Ovis aries: one gene and its partner. Each later gene encodes a partner of the first gene's protein in a complex. Links are inferred from orthologs where the notes say so. Each region holds a gene or a part of one and is shown on either strand. Other genes may lie near its edges.

Region 1 (3,648 bases):
CTCAGTGTGTTAAATAAAAGACCGAAGAGTTCTTAAATTCTTTTAAAATGAACCATTAAGTAGACCATTTTTTATTTAACCATTCTCATACTAATAAATTCATTTTAATTTTTTTATAGTTACAAACAATGTCCTTATAATTATATTTAAATATATGCACAGGTTATTTCTGTTGGCCAGATTCTAAAAATGGCATTCATGAATCAAAGTTTCAGTTTTTTTAAATTAAGAAATTTTTTGTCCCTCAAGTTCACTGATTTATACCCTCATGTCCTTATTTGTTTCTACATGCATGCTCAGTCACGAAGTCATGTCTAACTCTTTGCAACCCCATGGACTATAGCATGCCAGGCTCCTCTGTCCGTGGAATTTTCCAGGCAAGAATACTGGAGTGGGTTGCCATTTCCTCTTCCAAGGGATCTTCCTGACCCAAGGACTGAACCTGAGTCTCCTGCAATGGCAGGTGGATGCCTTACCACTGCATCATCTGAGAATTCCCATTTGCTTCTGTAGTCTTGCACTAATTATTTTTGAACTACGTAAAGTAGCTAAGTTGAAAAAAATTATTCCTCATGTTAAATTTCTCTTTTCTAGTATAGAAATTAATGCTTTAATTAATATAGTTTTAAAAAACTTTTTGAACACAATATAGGAAATACCAACTTGCAGGCTAAAATATTTATGGCATGATTATTTCTTAATTTTTCTCTTTAATAGGGCAAATTACTAGTAAATGGAAAGACTAAATGACAAGTTTAATACATATTTAAATAATATTTGAGGTGATTATTTCTGTCAGCGCCATTCACTTAAAAAGACACATCTTGAGCCTTTTACTCACCATATGTATCATATGGATCCACATTAGGACTAGGCATGTTCCACCACTGGATAGTTGCATCAGTACCACCACTAAAACACTGCTCTCCATTGGAACTAATAGCTAGTGACAGAACAGGACCACTATCACAGGAAAAGAGGGAAAAATTAGTGAGAAAGCCTACAAACTTACATTTGTACCCCTCCCACCTCTCTCTAAATTTATGTGGTATCTAAAACTGTTTAAGTTAACATGTACATTGGAACGGTACTAATTATATTCTCATTAGTATAATTATTAATCAAATGTAGTATTATTCAGCTAATGTCTTTCTTAATGTAAAACAAACATCATGAAAAAATTACAAGGCTACAGGAGTGATAAATAATAGTTAACAATAATTACGGCTGTTAATTAAGTACTAATTCAATAAAACTTACATGTGGGCCCTAAATGTGTAGATAGGCTCTACATCTAAAGAGGCACTCCTAAAAGAGGGGAGAAAAAAGGGGAGGGGAGAAGATAAATTATGGTAAAACACTGGTTGATATACAAGAGTCATTAGGAAAGATCAAATAAGTGCATAAAAGATACAGACCATAAAGGAGAATAATTACTTATAATTAGCAAATTTGGAAGAAAAAAACAGGCTAACATTAAAATACTTGCTTTTTGGCAGGAACTGTTTTTTGCAAGTTCCAAAGTTTCAGAGTATGGTCCTCAGAGGCAGTAACCAGCACAGGTTCTACAGGATGAAAAGCTAATGCCCGAACTCCATCAAAATGGCTACGTAGTGTATACTTGGGATTCCATGTCTTTCGAAAGGCATCTTTATTGGCAGGCAACTAGAAAGAAAGAGCACTATATTTAGTGGTAAAAGTAATGAACTGATAGGCATGTGGAGTTTTTGTTTGTTTTGCTGTGTTTAAAAGGTACATTCAAAAGTGCTTTGCTAAAATGTCCAGTGGAAATTTAGCACGCCTTAAAAACTTTATATCTTTATCATTTAATAAGAACTAAGAAGAATCATTTCATTAGCTTTCAAATACTTAGGTCGAATGAGTCCTTTAATCTGTTTTACCTAATGATCAAGGTAAACCCAAAGTCCTACTAAACATTAAAATGAGGGAAAAAACAAAACACACAAAGAAACTACCATGTTGCAACATTTTACATGAAAACAAAAATTAAATAAATTACTACCAAAAATCCAAGGGTACAATATTAACAATACAGTTGTCATTTAGAAAATCAGCATGTGACATTTTTCAAGGCAGCAAGTTAAAGTACTTTTCAAAAGTCTGAACTAAAGACACTTTTTGTTGATATTGGTAAGAAGTTAATCTTTTTACCTTCATTTCTCCATCTGTAAAGATAGGCTGTGAAACCACTTCTAAAGCAGTCAAAAGGTTATTATAGAATTTATTTGCTTACATACTTTAAAAGTATTAATGAGAATAATCCAGCCCACCAAGGCCGATGTCTCTAAAAAGCATTCTAATATAAGTATAAAACATAGAAAAAAATATGTTTATAAAAGGAAAAATTAATTTGCTGAAAATCTGCAAATTCACTAATACAAAATCTAAGTAAGTATAGTTAACTCTCAATTGAGTGCTTATTGTCTATAAAAAATTTAATCCAAGACTAGTTTCACCTCTAACACTGTCTTTTCCATTCCCTCTTCATCCTCTCCCCATCCCTCAAATGAAAGACTAAGTATTTAGGAAATGACAAACTAACTTTAACATTATCCTTTAAAAAAAAGTTCAAAACTAAAATGTGTTTAAAGAATTATCCTGAAAGCAGGTAAGTGATTCAGGTTACCTATTTTTCTCTTGTTAACAGCAAAGTATGGCTTAATTTGAGTAGGTAATTGAGAGTTGACTACTAAGGGTAGGTATTTATCAATCAGTATTTTTAGGTAATCAATCACCCCAAACTCCTAATACACCACAATACCCAAGAAAAATTTAAATACCACAAAGAAAGTAGTTGTAAGAAAAAAACTATATATCACTTCAAATAAACACAATGTCACACTTTATCTTTTCCATGCACCTTGACATTAATTCTGTTTTATAAGTGTTTCCAAAAAATAAGGAGCCTTCTATTAAATCATTAAAAAATTAAAAATAAAACTGCACTTACATCATAACTATAGTCTGCATCATTTGTTACCGTCAAGTCTGCAAGGTCTCCAAGGCCCAGTACACTTAACAAAACATCATCAGAACCCATAATAAATGACTTGCCTCCTCCAGATGGAAACGTTATTGGTTCAGCTATAAAGAACAAAACCGCTTCTTAAATGCTGAAAAATCATACAGTACAAGACAATATTGTGGGGAAATGTAAGCACTTAACAGTTATAATATTCAGTAATATAATTACTTTTTTATTTTCCCACTTCCCTCCTTATTTCTTCTACTCAAAAAATCCTATTACTGTGCAGTAATAAACAAGTGTTTTATTTATTTCAGAACTGAGTGTAATTTCCCACAAATAAAATATGCACTTGATGTATTATTTAAAGGTGGGAGCTTTATCTATTTATATCCCTTTGGTACAACTATAATTATAGTATTTTTTAAACATAATAGGTTATTGCTAAGTCCTTTCACTTTCCATCATATTTGTTTGAAAATGCTAGATATTCTCATCCCTGATAGAAAGTTAATACAAGTATTCGCATGTTATGAGCTTCCAGTCTCTTATACAGTGTATTAGCTTATTGAAGTAAAGCCTTAAATTGCTCAGATTTCTAAATGGTCTAGGAAAAGGGCAGTTCTACCTTTAGCGTCAGTTTCTTTTCCCTAAATGGTTAA
Region 2 (3,748 bases), on another chromosome or scaffold:
ACATGCATAATTTCCCAAAGGAAAGCGGGGAGTAGGTTTTTAAGTCATTGCTTATCTGATCCAGAGCACCGCAGGGAACTCTGAATCCAGTTGACACCTCTAAGAAACACCCCTCATTCGGTGGAGGGCTTTTCAACTTCTTCCAGCGGTCTGCGAACTCTATGGGCTAATTTTTGGAGGTCCAGCCTCACCCAGCCTTGGTGCAACGTCATTCACGGGCACGAATGTAGACGTCGGGGTCCTAGCAACCCCAGCTGCAGCCGGTCCCTTCAGGGGACTGCCGCTGTTGGTCGTTGTAAACAAACTACTACTTTCTGGAGGCAGCAGTGACTCACTCCTTCTTGCTTCTTTCCTCTGGAGTCGGAGGAGAGGTGACCAGAAGGTGGAGGCAGCCGAAAGAGCGGGAGAGAGGCAGGGGAAAGTCTAGACATCGTTTCCTTCCATTGTCTTCCCTTCCTCCTCGGCCCTCCCTGCCCGCTTCTCCCTTCTGGTGGGTGGACGTCCCCCGCCCCCACGCCTTGGTCCGGGGCCCAGAGACGATGGGGTTCAGCCCCCTCACTGTTTGTTGGCTAAGTTCACAGCTCCTAGTATTCCAAGTGCTTTCAAGCAGCCAAAGCACGGGAAACGAACCGCTTTCGGCCTCTCCCCTCCCGGAGGGCTTCCTCCTTGGGTTGGTTTGGAAACTTCACCCGGACACCGAAGAAGCTCCGCCCCGGTAGTTTTGAACCGGCCGCTGGCCGAGGCCCCCGCCGGGTCCCCAGGCTCTGCCCTCGGGGAAGTGGCCTGGGGCCCGTCGCCAGGCCGAGAGGGGTGGGCTTCTTTGGAAGGCAAGCCCAGATCCCCCGGGGCGTCCGACCGGCCCGGGCCTGCAGGGCGGGGTGGGCGCATGGCCCATCCCTGACTCCGAAGACCCGCGCCCTCCCATCTCACCACCGGGGGGGACCCCTGCCCCCCGCTAACTGAGGCCCCTAGCCCCGCACCCGCCCGCGCGTCCCCCTCCACCTGGTCTAGCCCGCGGGAGCCGCGCGGACCTCTACCCGGCCCGGCCCGGCGGCGGCGCGGACCGCTGCGGCCTAGGGCGCCGGGCGGCCGCGAGCCTCCTCCCCCTCCCGGAAGCGCGGGGCGGGGTCCCCGGCCCGGCCGCGGGGGCGGGCGCGGGGGCCGGGCCGGGGCGGGGCGCGCTCGGCGCTCGCGGGCTCGGCCGGCGGTGCGCGCCCCACTCCAGCTCCAGGCGCCAGCGCGCGGGCCCAGGCCGCCCGGTTCCAGTCCAGCAGCAGCGGCGGCGGCGGCGGCGGCGGCAGCAGCAGCAGCAGGGCGGCCGCTCGTAGGGAGGCCCCGCGCTCCTCGCAGCCCGTCCCCGGCGCGGTGCATGGAGACGAGGCCCGCCACCCGCCCCTGAGCCCGCCGCCCGGCCCAGGACCCACGGGGGGCTAGGGTGGCCTCGGGCTCCGGCCGGCCGGCCCCCCATCTCCCGCCCCCGGCCGCCCGAGGAGGGCTGCGCGCGGCCCGCGGGCCTCGTCGCCCGCGCGGATCGCCGCGGCCCGGCCGTCCCGTCCCAGGAAGTGGCCGTCCTGACCGCCATGGCTCACTCCCCGGTGCAGTCGGGCCTGCCCGGCATGCAGGTACAGGCAGGAACCGGGCCGCCGAGGGGCGGGAGGGATGCGCGGGCCGGGGCGGAAGCGGGGAACTTGGCGGTGTAAACACGGCCGCTCCCCCAACCCCCAGTTCCCCCGAACGCTGCCCCTTCCGGGGTCGCGCCGGCCTCCCGCGCCGCGCTCGCCGCCTCCGGGGCGTCCTGCCCGGCCCCGCGGCCCGGGTCTCGCGGGTGGGGTGGGGGTCGTGAAGGGACCTGGGGGGCCGCGGCCCGGAGGCGGCCCTCGCGGGCCGGGAGTCCCGGTGGTCCGGGGAGGGGAGAATGTGCGCTGCTGGCCCAGTCGCCCTCCTCGCGTCCCCCTCCCGAGCAGCAGGCCCCGCGCCGGCCCATCCCCTGGGAAGAAGTGATGTGGAGAAATGCCCTTGGAGGCCCGGCTCGTTCTCGGGGCCCGGGTGCGGGCTAGGGGTGGGCAGCGGTGGAGGCCCTTGTCCCTCCCCACCCCCCCTACCCCGGAGAGGGGGCCCCCGGGCGCGCCCCGGCTCGTCCCGGCCCGGCGGGTGGAGGAGACAGGGCGGGGAGAGGAAGGGGTAAGCGCCAGCTCCGCTTTCAGCGCGTTGCTCCGCGCGCTTCCTCCCGGTGCAGACGGACGGGAAGGTGCGAAGCCTGGAAGTCCGTTCTGGAAGGGAGGAATCGATCGGACAGCTTGCACTCGGACAGCGTGGGTCCCGGGACTCTGGGCTGGACTTGGAAACTCGATTGGATCCGACCACGGAGAGTCCCTTCCCACTAACCCTCTCCGTGGCTTCTTTGTGGCCTGTTGGCCTCCCAGCGGCTTAATAATTTTTTTCTGGAGTGGGGGCGAGGATGCATCAAAGAAAGTTTTTCGCCTTCGGGGATTATGTTTAGGCGTTTGAAAAATAAAAACCACCTTCCTCGGCTAGTTTGTGATGTGTATAAACGGGTAAATGGTGGCAAATGTTTGGGATTAAAAATCTCAACGGAACGGTTACGGTATCTCTCAAAAGTTTTGTTCCCCCCAGGTTAGCCGGGCGAGGGAACGTACGAACTTTAAGAAAACAATCACAAGTATCCGAGTGGATTATTTGTATTTTAGTGTTCAACGTACTGTTTCGTTTTTGTTTTTTTTTTTCCTCCCCTTCCTCTTGAGGGCTGAGAAGTATTTGGACCACATGGGAGCCAGGAATCTGCCCCCTCATTCGAGAGAGATCTTTTCTCTCTCTAAATCCGAAGTAGAAAACTCGACTTCATTGTTCAGGTTTGATATCTAGAAAAAAGTTACCGGGATTTTAGCTTTTTTTTAAAGTGGAGTGACAATTAACATTAATAACTTTACTGTACTTAAAAAGAAAACTGTCCTTGAACCTCCTGTAAAGAGCTTTTAAACAACACGCATTAAAAAACCTAAGCTACTGCTGACCGCTAGGTAGAAATCAGATGTGGTTTCTTGGTATTTCCTAAAATTCCTGCTTTGGTTTGGTTTGAATTTAGAGACAGGAAAGCAGGGTGAACTGGGTAAAAATGTATTTCTGACCAGTAGAGCAAGAAGGACCTCTTGTAATGATTTGGAAAAAAAAAAACCCCCCACCAAGAACCATATTTGGTCAGTACTTTCTTGAGATATACTCTTATGCTGTTAATTAGGTTGTATGTAGTCTGGTACACATGCCTTGCTCAGTACTACTGTGGAGGTGTAGTCAGCCTTTGTGGAAAGGGAATCTATTTAAAAAGGTACTTAAAGCTTCTCTGGCTGATGCCCTCCAGTCAGTATCAGATGGTCACCAGGTCAGGTGGTTATCTAGTCTCAACACTTTTTTTTTTGTCCTCACCTTTCAATTTTTTGCTTCAGGAGTGTGGGCCAGAATTCTTAAGTCTTGGATAAGGAAGATTCATTTCTTCAAAAAAGAAAAGCTTGCCTCCCCAAACATATTTCCTCCGTAAAGTTACAAGGGAGCTGTTTTTATTTTGCTTTCTCAGTATAAAGGCTGGTAAGTTTTTATTTGGTTGAAACAACTAGACTTTCAGCTCTTGCAGTTTTAGGGGCGCGAGGTGGCTTTGGACAGAGTCATCCCTGTGTTTGAAGTGCCTCCATACAATCTATGATGTTTGTTTCTGATGTGCCATTTGGGAAGGAAT

Evidence for each region. The genes of interacting proteins can lie anywhere in the genome.
Region 2: STRN3 (region 1) and STK24 share a complex: the UniProt entries of both Homo sapiens proteins name them as parts of the core of STRIPAK complex. The link is inferred for Ovis aries from reciprocal best matches to the Homo sapiens genes STRN3 and STK24.

What each region holds. Positions count from the first base shown.
Region 1 is NC_056071.1:39,341,860-39,345,507, forward strand, and holds part of STRN3 (striatin-3), read right to left. Parts: intron 3,106-3,648; coding exon 2,972-3,105; intron 1,666-2,971; coding exon 1,490-1,665; intron 1,309-1,489; coding exon 1,261-1,308; intron 964-1,260; coding exon 842-963; intron 1-841. UniProt on the Homo sapiens protein: Calmodulin-binding scaffolding protein which is the center of the striatin-interacting phosphatase and kinase (STRIPAK) complexes.
Region 2 is NC_056063.1:74,891,203-74,894,950, reverse strand, and holds the start of STK24 (serine/threonine-protein kinase 24), read left to right. Parts: upstream 1-1,218; 5' UTR 1,219-1,580; coding exon 1,581-1,622; intron 1,623-3,748. UniProt on the Homo sapiens protein: Serine/threonine-protein kinase that acts on both serine and threonine residues and promotes apoptosis in response to stress stimuli and caspase activation.